Mytilus edulis: one gene and its partner. The protein of the gene in region 1 purifies or fractionates together with the protein of each later gene. This does not show direct contact. Links are inferred from orthologs where the notes say so. Each region holds a gene or a part of one and is shown in the gene's direction. Other genes may lie near its edges.

Region 1 (7,243 bases):
ACTGCTGTTTAAACGTTAACCTGCGTGCTAAGTATTTACAAGTTCATTTAAAATTGGATAGTAACAGGTGGTTTCTGTTTACAGCTGCAGTTTCAGAAGTTGCTCTTTGACACATTACAGAGAGGCAGAGCCAGTCGATGATGGTGCGTTGTATATAGCTGTATTTGTAGGCATCTGTGGAGGTACTGATATGAGTGAATTGTTCTAGATGGTATTGTTTTATTGAGGTAGATGGTCTTGAGATCTAAAAAAAAAACATGTTTAACCCCGCCGCATTTTTTGCGCCTGTCCCAAGTCAGGAGCCTCTTGCCTTTGTTAGTCTTGTATGCTTATTAATTTTAGTTTCTTGTGTATAATTCGGAGTTGAGTATGACGTCCATTATCACTGAACTAGTATACATATTTTTTTAGGGGCCAGGTGAAGGACGCCTCCGAAGCGGGGGTTTCTCGCTGCATTGAAGACCCATCGCATGGTGGACGTCGGCTGTTGTCTGCTCTATGGTCGGGTTGTTGTCCCTTTGACACCTTCTTCATTTTCATTCTCAATTTTATTCTCGTGTATGTTGGTATGTTGACTGCCGCCTTTCCATGTGTGGCTTTGTAAAACATGCTCAATCTACTTGATTTCCGTCTAAATTATAGCGTTTGTCATTCTAGGGTTTTCAGGATGTTTGTAACTATCCCTGGTACTGTATGTTGATGTCGCAAATCTGGCAGTCGGTCATCTTTTTTTTCATATCAAGGGAGTCAATGTGATGTATTCCGCGATATGGATCCCATACTGCAGAGGCGTACTTAATTTAAGATGTGGGCGCACTAGCGATGTATATGCCTGCGCTTTGATATCTTGTAGACACTTCCAGATGTTTGTGTCTTAGGAATCCTAATACTCGGTTGGATTTTGTGATAACGTTCTTAATGTGTGAATCCCAACTGAGATCTTCTGATAATTCGACTCCGAGGTATGGATATTGGTGAACTGTGGATAGTTGTTGTCCCATCATTTCATACTCTTTTATCGTTTGGTTTTTTTTTCTTGTTACCCTCAGTGTGTAGCATTTTAATAGCTGGGTAGAATGTCATTTGCCACCGCTCCACCCGTTTAGTCAGTTCTGTCAGATCTTGTTGTAGTTGTAAGTTGTCCTCGATACCTTTAATGGATCTATATATTAGTAGTAGCAAGTCGTCAGCAAAGAGACGGAGGGTGAGGGAGGGTTGATGTAATGACATTGTTTCTGTCTTATCGTTGGTGTATATTAGGAAACAAAGTGGTTCCAATACCGGACCTGTAGAAATCCGGATCGTACTCGGATTTGTTCTCACTGGCTTCTCCATCTAGACATACTCTCTGGTGTCGCTGAGTTAGCCATGACGAAATCTATTGTAGAGTGTTATATATTATTCACTAGTGTGACATTTTTTTCAGAAGTCTTTGTTGGGGAATGTATCGAACGATTTTGAGAAATCAAGAATAAGCATGCTATTTGTCCTCGATGGTCCAGTTCTCTTACAACTGTTACTATGTGTTAATAAGTTGGGTTTAACATGATCGGTTATGTCTGAATCCGTGTTGGAAGTAGGATAAGATTTGATGTTCTTCAAGATGTTCCATGATGTGCATATAGATTATGTGTTCCATGAATTTACAACATATTGTGGTTAACGATACGGGACGGTAGTTTACTGCTTGACTTCTGTTCCCCTGTTTGTCAATGGCTGTGATGTTTGCCTGTCGACAATCTTTAGAAACTTTCCACTGTCATAGGACTGTTCATATAATTTTGTTTGGGGAACGGTTGTGTTTGTTTGTCGTCAATCTTCAGAAACATTTTCACTGTCATAGGACGGTTCATAGAATTTTGTGTGATGAACAGTTGTATTTGTTTGTCGCCAATCTCCAGAAACATTTCCCCTGTCATAGGACGGTTCATATACTTTTGTGTGAGGAACGGTTGCGTTTGTTTGTTTGTCGCAAATCTTCAGAAACATTTTCACTGTCATAAGACGGTTCATAGAATTTTGTGTGATGAACGGTGCAATTTCGCAGTGTGCTTCTGATTGGTAGTTCATCTAGACTGTTTGCTTTTGTTGGGTCTATTAGTCAAAGTTAAACTTTTTCTCAACTCTTTCCGATCTGATATGTTACTTCCTATTGTTTGGAGTTGTACTGGTTCCCATATGTGGTATATTTTTTGTATCCTCTGTCGTGAAGACACCATCATATTGAGTGTTCAATATTTCTGTTTTCCTTTGCTGTCATGATCTCCGAGGTTGTTCTGGAGGGATGATATTCCCATTGTGTCTTTTTGCTTGATTTTATATATTTCCAGAATTTCTTGCCAATGTTTGGTTAAGTGTTATCTTCGTCCTCTTGATTTAGGATTTATCGAACATAATTGTCGTGGGCCTCGTTCATCTCTTCTTGACAAAGTCTCTCATCTGTTTGTACTTGTGTCATTTTGTTTTCTTGGTGTTGTGTTTTAGCAGCACTGTATCTACGCTGTCTGCTTCGTGTCTGTCTTTTGATATGTGTAGAGATCTAAATCACATGTTGTTTTCTACCTATACCGAGTTATATGTGGGCCAAGGCCCATGATGAATTATTTATATATACAAATAGTTGCTTGTAACATGATCTCTTTGAAGTATGTCCAGTTTTCTTCTACAGTGTATTCTTCCATGCTGTTAATTCAGTTCCCAAAATTGTCTAGGAAGTTTTCTTTGGGTCCAATCATAGCGGTCTTTTTAAAAAGGTACACTGGGTTTCTTTTTGATGAAGTTTGGCTTTCATATCTTTGCTACTTCGATTTTACTAATAAGTCCTCAGTGGATTGGTTGTCATGAGTAGGTTTAGTGTGTTTTGTCCTTTAGTTGGTTTACTTACTATTTGGTTCATGTCGTAGTTATATGAGATTTAATTATGATTAGCTTCTTCATTCTGTGGGTTATTCGGGTTGTTTGCTAGTTGAGATGTGGCAGATTGAAATCTCCTCTAAGTATGACATTTTGTAGGGTTTAGGCTTGTGTCCACGAACCGATGCAGTAAATAGATTTCTCAAGTTCTTCAAGTTTTTCGATGACAACTTATATTTCAATGCAATGCCAAATTATGTTTTATAGCTGGACTAGTTCTTTCAATTGGAAGAAATTAATTTTAATATACTGATTCCTGTCCTATCAATTTTTTTCAGAAGGTTGGTCGAGTTTTAAAAAAAGTCTTTCAGTCTTTTTTTAAATTTCAAATTCACATGCAGGTTCCAGTATGCACTACAACTGCATTTACAAGCCAGTTACAATTTTACAAAATTTGTTTAAATTCTGAACATTAAACCACATATGTCTACATACGAGGTTTTTTTCTCGTTTGGCCAGAATACATATTTGAGTTAATTTACTTTTTTCATAAAAATATTTTTAAATACAACCAATATTTTTTGGCAGAAAATCTTAGCGTCATATGATTCTCATGTGGTAGATCACATATTTTTCCTAGAGTTATTTCCCGTGCAAAATAATTTTTGAGAATTTCAGAGGGTGGACGTTTTATAACGGGAACAGCCTGGTTAAATATTGCAAATAGGATTTTATCTCCTAAAATTGCACCAATTATTCTTTGTTCGAAAATTCTGACATTTTACTTTATCTTCGTTATTTTAACTTTAGTTTGAAATTTTCAAAGTCAATAAACTGCTACATGCGATCTATGCACCAATACTGTCAAGGAAAAAATGAAAACAGATACATTTGCATGCTCAATAATATCAGATTTTCCCGTCTGATTGACGTCAATAGAAAGCCTTCAGGCAATCAAATGCTCTTCTGTTCATCTCCCCAGAGTAAAGGTCAAATTTTTGTTTTCTACAATATATACGCCATAGAAACGCTTCGAATAAATCTTTAAAGATGTTATTTGAATTTTGAATTCGGATTTGAATTACATTTGATGCAAAATCAAGCCATTCCATTATGAAATTGTCACTTTTTTGAAACAATACGTGGGAGGTGAAACGATTAGCTAATTGAACAAGCCGTGTTGAAAAGAAATGCCTCGGACGCTTCACAACTCAATATTAGTATATCTGCGCTCAGTGGACAATTTACGCAAAAGAATTCCCGAATTTGATAGAAGTCATGCTCCGTGTTCAAATTGTATATTTTGACACAGGAAATGATTGTTATTGTTTTTAAAGTATACATAGCACCCATAACCAATATTTTCACGATCCCTATAGAGGCGTATGAATCGCTATTCTCTTCCGATATTCCCGCTTATTGAAGAGAACAACATAATACACTGTTTGATAAGACCATGCTGCCATCTGACTAAGATTTACCCTATTGCAATCTGCCTCAGTTCGATACATGCGTGTTTATTGACAATATTAGGACGCACCGCAATTCAAGAAAAGTATCCCGAAACATGTGAGTTGATTATTCATAGGTGTCACGGTCAATTTCTCGCTCTAGAAGGGTGGGTAAATAGAATTATGCTGAAGAAACTCTTCTGTGTATACAACAAAGACAGGAAACTGAAGCAACTGGAGTCGACCGGAGGGTCAGGAACTTTTCGGTAAGTGAAGTATGGAAAATGCTGGCCCTGGTAAAGGGCATACTAGACAAGTCAAGAGCAAAAAGCTTAAATCTCCGAAGAATTTACGGGGAAACACAATGGACTCGTTTCAAGATGGAGGCCAACAAAACATGAGCAATGAACAAGGCGAATATTTTAATCAAATTGAAGGGCCTAACATGAACGTTGATATGAATAACTATCCTCCATCATCTAGGGAACAGATGATGGGGGTTGACAACTACGGAAGAATGAACCCAATGATGCATCCAGGGCAAATGCAAGGGTACAATCCGTATAATCGTGAAAACTTTAACCCAGGCGATCAACATGGCGGAATGGCAGGAAGTTCAGAAATTATTAATCAAAATACTTTTCAGGCTCAGTATATGCAGCCTGGAATGAAGAGTGGACATCCAGGCAAACCGAACATGATGCCTATGAGGCCACAAATGGGCCCAGGTGGTCCAGGAATGCCACAATCCTATCCACAAGGACAAAGATCAATGTTGTCAGGACAAAGCATTTCACAGCAGTCTGGACCAACACCAACACTAAATCAGCTTCTGCAGACACCAAACACACCGGGGAGGATGCAGGGAAATAATTATGGTGAATATCACCAGAAAGTGGCACCCGAAATGACAGCGCAAGGGACACCATATAACATGCAGCAAGGTTGGACTGGAAATAGACAACCAGCCAGTTTTCCACAAGGTCCAGGGACTCCCTATAGGGGTCAGGTAAGTTGTATTTATCTACTTTCACTTTGACTAAAGGAAGTCATTAACTGCCATGTGACACTAATCTATTGATCATGTTTGTATTGCCCGCCAGAGTTGTAAATAATCTTATCAATCTAGTTTCATAATTACTTTTTCTTCCAAGCGGTTATTGATAAGCTATACTCAATTATAAAAAACATAAATAGAAAGAAATATTGCATTCATTATTACCAGGATTTATTGGTCATGCATTTTTATCACATGAATGAAAAATCAATTTTGAATTTGGAGGCAAGACTGTTGTGACCTTTGTCTGATTGGCTGGGAAGACCATAAAGCAATCAATTAATCTCAGTCCTGGGATAATCTATTTTCATTTGTGTAGATAATAAAAGCATAGATGTTGGAAATCCCCTAAATTGTTGAATGACATCCAAGAAAATGAAAGTAAATCTATTATTGACAGATGCTTTGAAATTGTTTACCTTTCTGTATGCATGAGTAATTTTATGGAATTTGATATTTCATGCATTAAAATATTATTGATTTTTATATAAGACTTTAACAAGATTCATAATTTTCTGAGACTTTGTTCTGGTAGTTTTGTTTTCCGATATTTTAAGAGTTTGTTGCTTGTGTTAAATTCATTTTTAATTAAAATAATCTTCTGTGCATCTTTTTGATTTGACTATTATGTAAATTTTATTTGTGTGAATACATGTATATATACTGCTCTGCTAAGATTTTTCAAATGGCAAATGATTTTCCCTCAATTGACAATTTTTTTGCTGGTAAATCTTGTGTAAAAGGATGATTGTTGAAGTTGTAAAACCCTTCACTTGATAACAATGTTTTATTATCACTGGGGTAAAGCTGATGACCGTAACTGCATTCACGGTCATCCCAAGATGTCGGATGAAAAATTAGGTCAGTATCTGTATTGTCTGTTACAGTGTTTCTATATCATTTTCTTTACAAAGGAGACATTGATTCGATGTAAATTTATAAAAGATTCACACGGAAATCACAAATTACTTCCGAGAAATGTGCATGAAACGGGAAATTCGATTTAAAAAAATCGCTAAGATGACCGTAAATCACAATCGAGATGACCGTAACAGAATCAGCAATTCAAAACAAGGGTGACCGTAATTGGTTAAAAGATGACCGTAATTTGTAAAGGATGACCGTAATTTCTAAATGATGACCGTAACTTTTAAAGGATGATCGTCAATTCTAAGAAATATCCGTATTTGTATGACTACTTTTTTTGTATCAAATGATTAATGGTGTTGATATAAATCATATTTATATGAGAGTATTATCCTATAGGTAGGAGAAAATAAGACGTGCTTTAAATACAGAGTTCACCATATATATCTTTTTTTACGGTAGAGGGTATAATTTTTAAAATGAACATACAACAAAACATGCACATGAAAAAGTGGGGAAAACATGCAACAAAAGCGCGATTAAATGACACCTAACAAGTATAATAAAAAAAAAAAAGTGTCCTGCACAGCCTCTAACTAAAAGCCAAAAGGTTTTTTTTTTATTTCTGGAATTCCTTGTAATGACATATAATAAATGCACTTTTTAAAAATGCCAATGGATGTAGACTACAGCCATTGATATTATATCGTCTTTGATTTGTCTTCTATTTTGTCTTGCAAGTAAAATAACAGAACCTGTTTTTAAAATACTACGACCAAACTAGTGAAGGCGAGCTCCAGCAAAGTAGATCCTTAAAATAGTCTTATGCGTATAGCGTATCACAAGGGGCTGGGGCGGTCGGATGTAGCCATTTAAAAAAAAGGGGGGTCCCAACCCAGGGTAAAGGGGGTTCAAACTATGTGTCCCCATTCAAATGCACTGATCGGTAAATAAAAAGGGACCCCCTTTTGGATCCTACACTGAGGGGAACCTTGTCAATTTGTATATACAGCAA
Region 2 (7,418 bases), on another chromosome or scaffold:
ATCGTGTCATTCTAGCTACGCCCCTGACGACATTCGAATTTTAATACAGCATCGGTGACCCATGCATGATTTTATTCGACACAGTATTAGAAAATAATGAAATTATATAAAACCTTTGATTGACAAAAAAGTCAGTAAATAATGGGGTTTCAATATTGGGTGGTCAGATAATCCGGTAAAGAACATAAACTGTTTAAATCTCTTTAAAAAATATATATCTCAGTGGTGCAAGGTATAGCATAGGACAATGTAAATCTACTGCAACAACTTAATTACCCCCCCCCCCCTTTTTCCAACACTTTTTTACCTAATGAATTTTAAGAATACCAATCCGTTTAAACTTGAATTCTTAATGGTCTATACATCTTGCAAACACGCATTGCTGTATTCGGCGGCTTTCCATTGGTACCACGATTTCCCGAGAAATACTGTTATCGAACTTTTACGTTACATATTTCTATCTGTAATAATTTTTTTTATTTCATTTTTTTTTTTTGATTGAAATCAAAGTTAACTTGAGACTCAGTCATGATTATTTATGTATTTTCACGGTAACTTCTTAGAATATACCGATTCTCAAGCTCTTTGGAATGCATTCTATCCAACATGAGTCCCCCCCCCCCTTTTTTTTTTTGGATTTGTAACGTTCATATCAATGTACCTAAAAATCCCCTGAAAAAACTTTTATAGCCTTTTTGTTAGTTTTCATTAATGTTGATGTACAGTACAAAACAATAGAAAGGCAAAGACACACACCTTTTGAACATCAGTGATGTTTATTTTTGGACTATATACGTTCGAGTTGTCCACTTATAGGGAACAAATTTTTGTTCCCGGTGTCCTTTTTTTCTTTCATTCTTTCTTTCTTTAGGTTTTCAGTAGTCCTTCAATGATCTGAAAATTATTTACTGTTTGCGCGCGCAGCGTGGCCTATATATATAAATACAAAGACAAATACAAAAAAAATATTTGGAAATAAATTTGAGGTGCGTAATTTAGTCCTGGAAAGAATAATATTTTTTTAGCATTCGGGGATATTAACTTCTTCTTCTTCTTCTTGTCTCCGTATAAGCATCCTTTATAAGGATCACCACCATGAGTTATGGCGTATAAAGAAAGCATTTGGAGCCTGTATCGGTACAGATTAATATGAGCATTTGCCTACCCAATTCCCCAGCCAGGCCGTGACGGGTCTTATTACCAGAAAGTTAACCTTCCCTAAACATAATACAATATAACAAAATAAAACATACCAACTCACACACTCACCTGGTTCGCTCAGTCCTCAAAGTATAAAAAGTGTATTTTTTTTCTATGTATCAAATATCCTTTTTTAAATATCTGTGTGTTTTATAACACCCCTCCCATTGGCGGATCCATGGGGATTCTCTAGAAACACTAGAACACACCCGTGATATCGCGGGTCCGTGACTCAATTAAAGTATATAACTATGCGCAAGCCTTATTTTAATATTAGTATTGTCATCTGATAATGTCATGCCGATTATAAGATACGCAGTTTTCTCTGCTTTCAAATCTTTCTGTTTGAATCCGTCGAACTCGAACTTATCAATTATTGGTAGTATTAATTAGTTGGAAAACAAAAGGTCCTGGAATGGAATATTTTTAAATCAACAGCATTGTCCTATATTAGTTATAAAGTTGAATTCTTTGATTCGCTGTTTTACGTCATGCCCGCTAACAAATTGAAAACTGCCGTACCTATACGCCTTATTTTAGTCCAGATTTTTAGTATTTGTATTGTTATCTTAGAAAGTTTTACTGATTAAAATGCTACAATAGGTAACAATTTGACAATCTAGTAGTGTCAACCCTGTGAATATGACCCGTGTATATAGCATATTAATCCTGAATACACCGTTTGGTGGTGCGCCTGTCAGATGCGGAACGTACAAATAAGGTAATAGGTAACAGGTGAATATACTATTGGTATCGGTATCGGACTCAACCCGGAACTTCTTAATTATTGGCAATATTTAATTACGTGGAAAACAAAAGGGCCTGGAGTGATGTAATTTTTAAGGCGTACCCACATCTGGTTTTATAATAAAATGCCGTCGGATCGGGAATGAAACGTGAAATATATACGGAATTTGTTGCAATTAGTGAATAAATTGATTAAAACTACTCAGAATTTTCATAAATATACACATATATATTTCATACAATTGTATATAAGAATTTATAGAAGCCGCAGAGAAAAGAAAGAAGAACCCGGAGCACAAAATTTAAAGATTTAAAGTACAACAGAATAAATTTTTCCTGCATTCATGGTGGGAAGCAATTCCAAACAAATTCGACAAGAAAAAAGGCCTAATACAAGGTATTTGTTGTTTTAAATTGTAGTTTTTAATCGAATTTGCCACGCCTTTCATTTAAGTTTTTTTATAATGTCGATTACTTATAGTTTTTGTATTGTAAATCGTTCGTGATATTAAGGATATGTCTAATTTCGGTACTTTCCAAATGGAATGTCCTCAGTTCCACATTAAACTTGGCGTAACTAAAGATGGACAAAACCTTAATTAGTTACATGAATCTTTTATAATTGGTTTAAATTGATATCATTACTTGCTTCTTTAATTTTTATAAACTCAAGCTTAAATTTTAGAATTTTTATATATTTTAAAATTTCAGTTTCTGTTTTACATTTTACTAAAAGATTATCTTAAAATATCATATGGGTATTTTTTTAAATTATTAAAATTTTATTCTTAAAATTTTCATTTAAATTTTATAATAGTATTAATTTCTATCATGTTTTCTTTTACAGGGAATGTACAGTTTCATTTTCCATCATTGTGCATTTAATTTTTGCAATGTTTATTATGTATCATTATTTAATAAATACAATTTGAAAATATTATTTTTCATACTCTTCACTCGTTCTACACGAAATCCCTATATTATCGATAATTTCCGTATATATTTCACGTTTCATTCCCGATCCGATGAATTAGTCACCAACTATGTACTTGGTAAAGTAGATGAAGAACTCAACAAACTTCTCAACAACCGCTGTAATAGATCCTCGAATTCTGAACAGTTTGATCCAAGTCAACAATCGTTTCATCAGCAAAAATCATTTATGCAACCACATCAATACTCTCCAAATCAGCATTCAAATCAACCATACGTTACAACTCAACGACCAAATCATCAATTTTCATCTTATGACCAACCTGTTTTTCACAATACATCTCATGTGCTACCAAGTCATCAATACTCAAATGCTTACTACCAATATGATTACATTCAAAACAGGGAACAAGATATAGAAATTAATCACTCAGTTAACTTTCACCCTGACCTCAACGATGATAGAAACATATGTAAAGAAAACTTAATTGAAATACTTCCAACTGAACAAAAGAAAGTTAACAACACCAAACTTTCACACTCAAATGAATCATACAGGAATGATAAAGAAGTGGTTAACAATCAACAGAGTATAGGAAAAAGTGATCCCAACTGGTTCCACATCTCCCTCGAAGGTGAACCCATAAGCTATGAAATAAACAATAGTGACATGCATTTTTTATACCAACACAGCCTCGTCCGTCCAAAAATATAACAATAAAACCTAGACCCATAGGAGAGAAGGCTAAAAACTGTAAATATGTATTAAAGATTATAAATTTTAACTGTAAAAACATTTTAACCTGTGGTCCACTATTTGATGAATTAAAAGACTCTATTGACATTTATCTACTTCAAGAACACTGGCTCTTCCACTGTCAGTTAAAGATGTTGAATGACATTCTGCTAGATTATAAGGGTGTTGGTAAAGCAGTAGACTCCAGTGACCCAATTACTCCATGGAGAATGCCAAGAGGCTATGGTGGGACGGCTATACTTTGGAAGAAAAATCTTGACTCCATAGTCACTCCACTGTCAATATAGGGAATAATCGAATACAATGCAGTGAGATCAAAGGTGACCCAAATTTAATAGTCATTTCTGTATATTTACCTTGTAAAGGTTCAACAAATAGTCAAACAGAATTTCAAGAATGTATAGATCTATTGAATGAAATATTGACAACCTATGAACTAACACACCAAATAATAATAGGTGGTGACTTTAATGAGGAAATCTTTGGATCCAATGATTCGATAAGACAGAAATATATAGTGTCATTTATAGACGAACACTGTCTAAGTACAAAAGATATTGGAAAAACATTCATTAGCGCTAATGGGAGTGATTGTACTGCAATTGACTATATACTCTTTCAAGAAACTTTTAAGGAATCAATATTAAGAAATGTGAATTTACTGGGAATGTTTCTGACCATTAATCTACACCTTTGTACTATATAAGTTATATAAAGTTGAATTCTTTGATTCGTCGTTTTTACGTGATGACGGCTGACAAATTGGACCTCGTAATTTTAGTATTATAGATTTACGGAATTTCTTTTCGAAATAATCCCGTCTTGGCTTCCTAAAATTACTTTTAGATTTCTATTTACTGCGGACCAGTTTGACGCGGTTAAAAATTTTAAGGAAAAAATTGACAAAGCTCCCTGACCTCTCTTTTTGGTATAATTATCATGTCACTAGCATTTGTTCAACCGCAGCAGAAGAAAGGTCAACCCAATCAAGCACAAATTCAAAAGGTAAGCCGTGACAGTCTTGAAAACAAAAAACTGTCAGAAAAAAAAATCTTCCATTGTTTCACGTAACCTTCTTCTTCTTCCGAATACGGGAGTAGACTCCTAGGTAGGAGTGTAAAACTTCCCGGAACTTGTGTGCTATGTACATATGGACTTAATTTAAAAATAATATGACAAGAAAAATCGTTATCAATAACATATATACATTATGTACAGTGGCTTTAAAGTTTAATAAGTTGCTGTGGATCCTTCAAATGTTAGAGTGGATATGCCACTTTTGAAGGATTCCAGGGTGTCTGACATACCTATTGCTTCAGGTAGTGAGTTCAGAGACATATAATACAAGAGATTGGCAACTCGGCGAAATCGCGTAATATCACACGGCCACATTTAAACCTCGCGAGATCTCTTTGGGTAATAGAGTTATTATCAAAGTATTAAAAGTACTCGAGGTAATGGTGAATGTTTAAGCATAAATTAACTGTTTCAGTGTTAAATTTAACATAATTAATTAAATAATTTGAGTTCATACATTCATAATTATTTATTTCAATGTCCTTTTAATTTTTATTTGTATTATTGAAAAAGAGACATAATTTGATATTGAAGTAAAAAAAAAAAACAATATTAAATAATTAACACTTAATAAATTGTATCAGAGTTCATTTTATTTGATACTTTCACAATGGGTTTCTATTAAATATACACCTGTCTCGGAGACATAATTTCACAGTGTAACATGTATATTAGGCTTGAATTATTCAGGTAAATCACAACCTGTTAAAACTGAAGAGTTTTATTTGACACCTGGTACACAAGAAGTTGTTACACCACAGGTGTCCACACTATTTCCGAAAATACTATTTACAAAATATATTAAATTAATTAATGTGTAGAAAAAAATAATTTGTTTGTTTATCGTTAATCATGATCGACTTCGTCTTATATTAATAATTTGTATAGATCATTAAAAATTGAATACTTATTGTGTTCATTATTAATTGGGCTTGTATTAAGTTTTTTTCTATGATTGTCGGTAAATTGTTTTCTAAGTGTGTTTTTTTTCAAAATTTACATTATGAGCTTGCATTGAGTTTTTTTTATGATTTTTATTTATGGTTTCTCCTTTTCACGGATTGTGTATTAAGGACTTACATTTAATGATCATTTAATAGAAAATGGCAATATAAGTCTCACTTTTGACCTCGAATAGAAAGAGATTAAACCATATTTTAAGTGTAAGGAACTGATAAATATACGATAAAGACTCAGAGCAGCAGGTATTGCTGCCTTTTCATGAACAATTTTTGTAAGACGAAACATTTTACTATGTTATACTTCTGTCAGCTTGGTAAGTTGACTTCAAAGCATACACCAGTTTTAATGCCACATTGATATCTAAACGTTTCGAAATGTACACGTTTCCCTTCTTTTTAACTTTTGGACTAGTTAAAATCTCCTTTTAGTTTTGAAATGGACATGCACATGTGTAAATAGTTTTACAACTATTTGACTTGATTTGTAAGTCAAAACCTTTTTGTTTTACTTTATACAAACTGCACGAAAAAGCGCCTACCTTTGTTGTTGATCAGGCTGATTTAATTGATGGTTGCCTAACGTCCAGTGGAAAATAGTTCATGGGATATTTTTAATATATTGATGTGCGAGTGTATGACATTTCTTTTCTGTACAATATATATGCAATATAATATTGAACTCTCCACAAGAAACCAAATGATACAGACATTAACAACTGTAGGTAACCATAAGGCTCTTAGCAATGAGTAAAATTCATACTGCACTGCGAACTATACAAGGTCTATTTACATGTATGAAAAAGGTTTAATAATTCAAACAAGAAAACTAACCGCCCGATTTATGTACAAAAAAAATCCAAATATGATATACAGCAACAAACCACAAGTGAATTACAGGCTTCTTACTTTGGAAAGACACAAAGATAATAAAGGCATGATAATATATTTCACCATTATCACAATTTAAGCCGTACAATTTTATGTTTTTGTTTGTTTTTTGTTTGTTATGTTTTTCCCCCCACAGTAAGCATCTATAAATCATATAAACCAATTAATTTGGTGTGGCTTTTGGATAAACCAAATTACATCATTCTGTAAAAAAACACTGTCATACATCCCATTATTCTGAAATGAAAAGGACCAGTCAGACTGAGAATCAGAACAAGTATTTATGTATACAATATATCTAGACTATCACTACACATCATTCCATCCTTTTTCAATAATTAAACTAAGATATAAGAGAACAAAACTCATTCCAGGTATAAATAATATTTTTATTATCAAACATTCACTTATAATGTTACTGTCAATGATAACTGAGAGCTTCGTGCTAATTTACCTGCAACTGATCTGGTACAGTTCAACTGTATGCAAATTTCGGTACATTTTGTATCTGTACAGCTAAGGATATATGTACATGTATCATTGATGCTAACTTGTAATAAATTGCATAAAGTCTGAAAGGGAGAATGGGAGAAAGGCAAGGTTCTTCATGTTCATTGTGTGTCTCATTCACTGCAAATATCTCAATTACAAATGTATTGTGTAATCAGTTGCTCTGTGCCTTCCAGTGGTGCAAGAAAAAAATCAGCATGGCAATCAAATTCAAGCGTACATATTTTTTCATTCTCAAATGGCTGTTCTTTTGCTGCATAAGTGTGGTCTGAATGTTCATCTAACAAGAGTTCTCCTTTGACTTCTTCTGATGTAATAGAAATTTCCTCAGAACGTACAAACTC

The links.
Region 2: the proteins of trithorax group protein osa-like (region 1) and protein SSXT-like purify together in Homo sapiens (affinity purification with mass spectrometry; 7 studies listed by BioGRID and IntAct, counting the BioPlex papers as one, with this or other methods). This does not show direct contact. The link is inferred for Mytilus edulis from reciprocal best matches to the Homo sapiens genes ARID1A and SS18.

Annotation. Positions count from the first base shown.
Region 1 is NC_092353.1:43,285,269-43,292,511, reverse strand, and holds the start of trithorax group protein osa-like, read left to right. Parts: upstream 1-4,231; 5' UTR 4,232-4,581; coding exon 4,582-5,313; intron 5,314-7,243. UniProt on the Homo sapiens protein: Involved in transcriptional activation and repression of select genes by chromatin remodeling (alteration of DNA-nucleosome topology).
Region 2 is NC_092348.1:25,284,154-25,291,571, reverse strand, and holds the start of protein SSXT-like, read left to right. Parts: upstream 1-4,317; 5' UTR 4,318-4,576; coding exon 4,577-4,642; intron 4,643-7,418. UniProt on the Homo sapiens protein: Appears to function synergistically with RBM14 as a transcriptional coactivator. Isoform 1 and isoform 2 function in nuclear receptor coactivation. Isoform 1 and isoform 2 function in general transcriptional coactivation.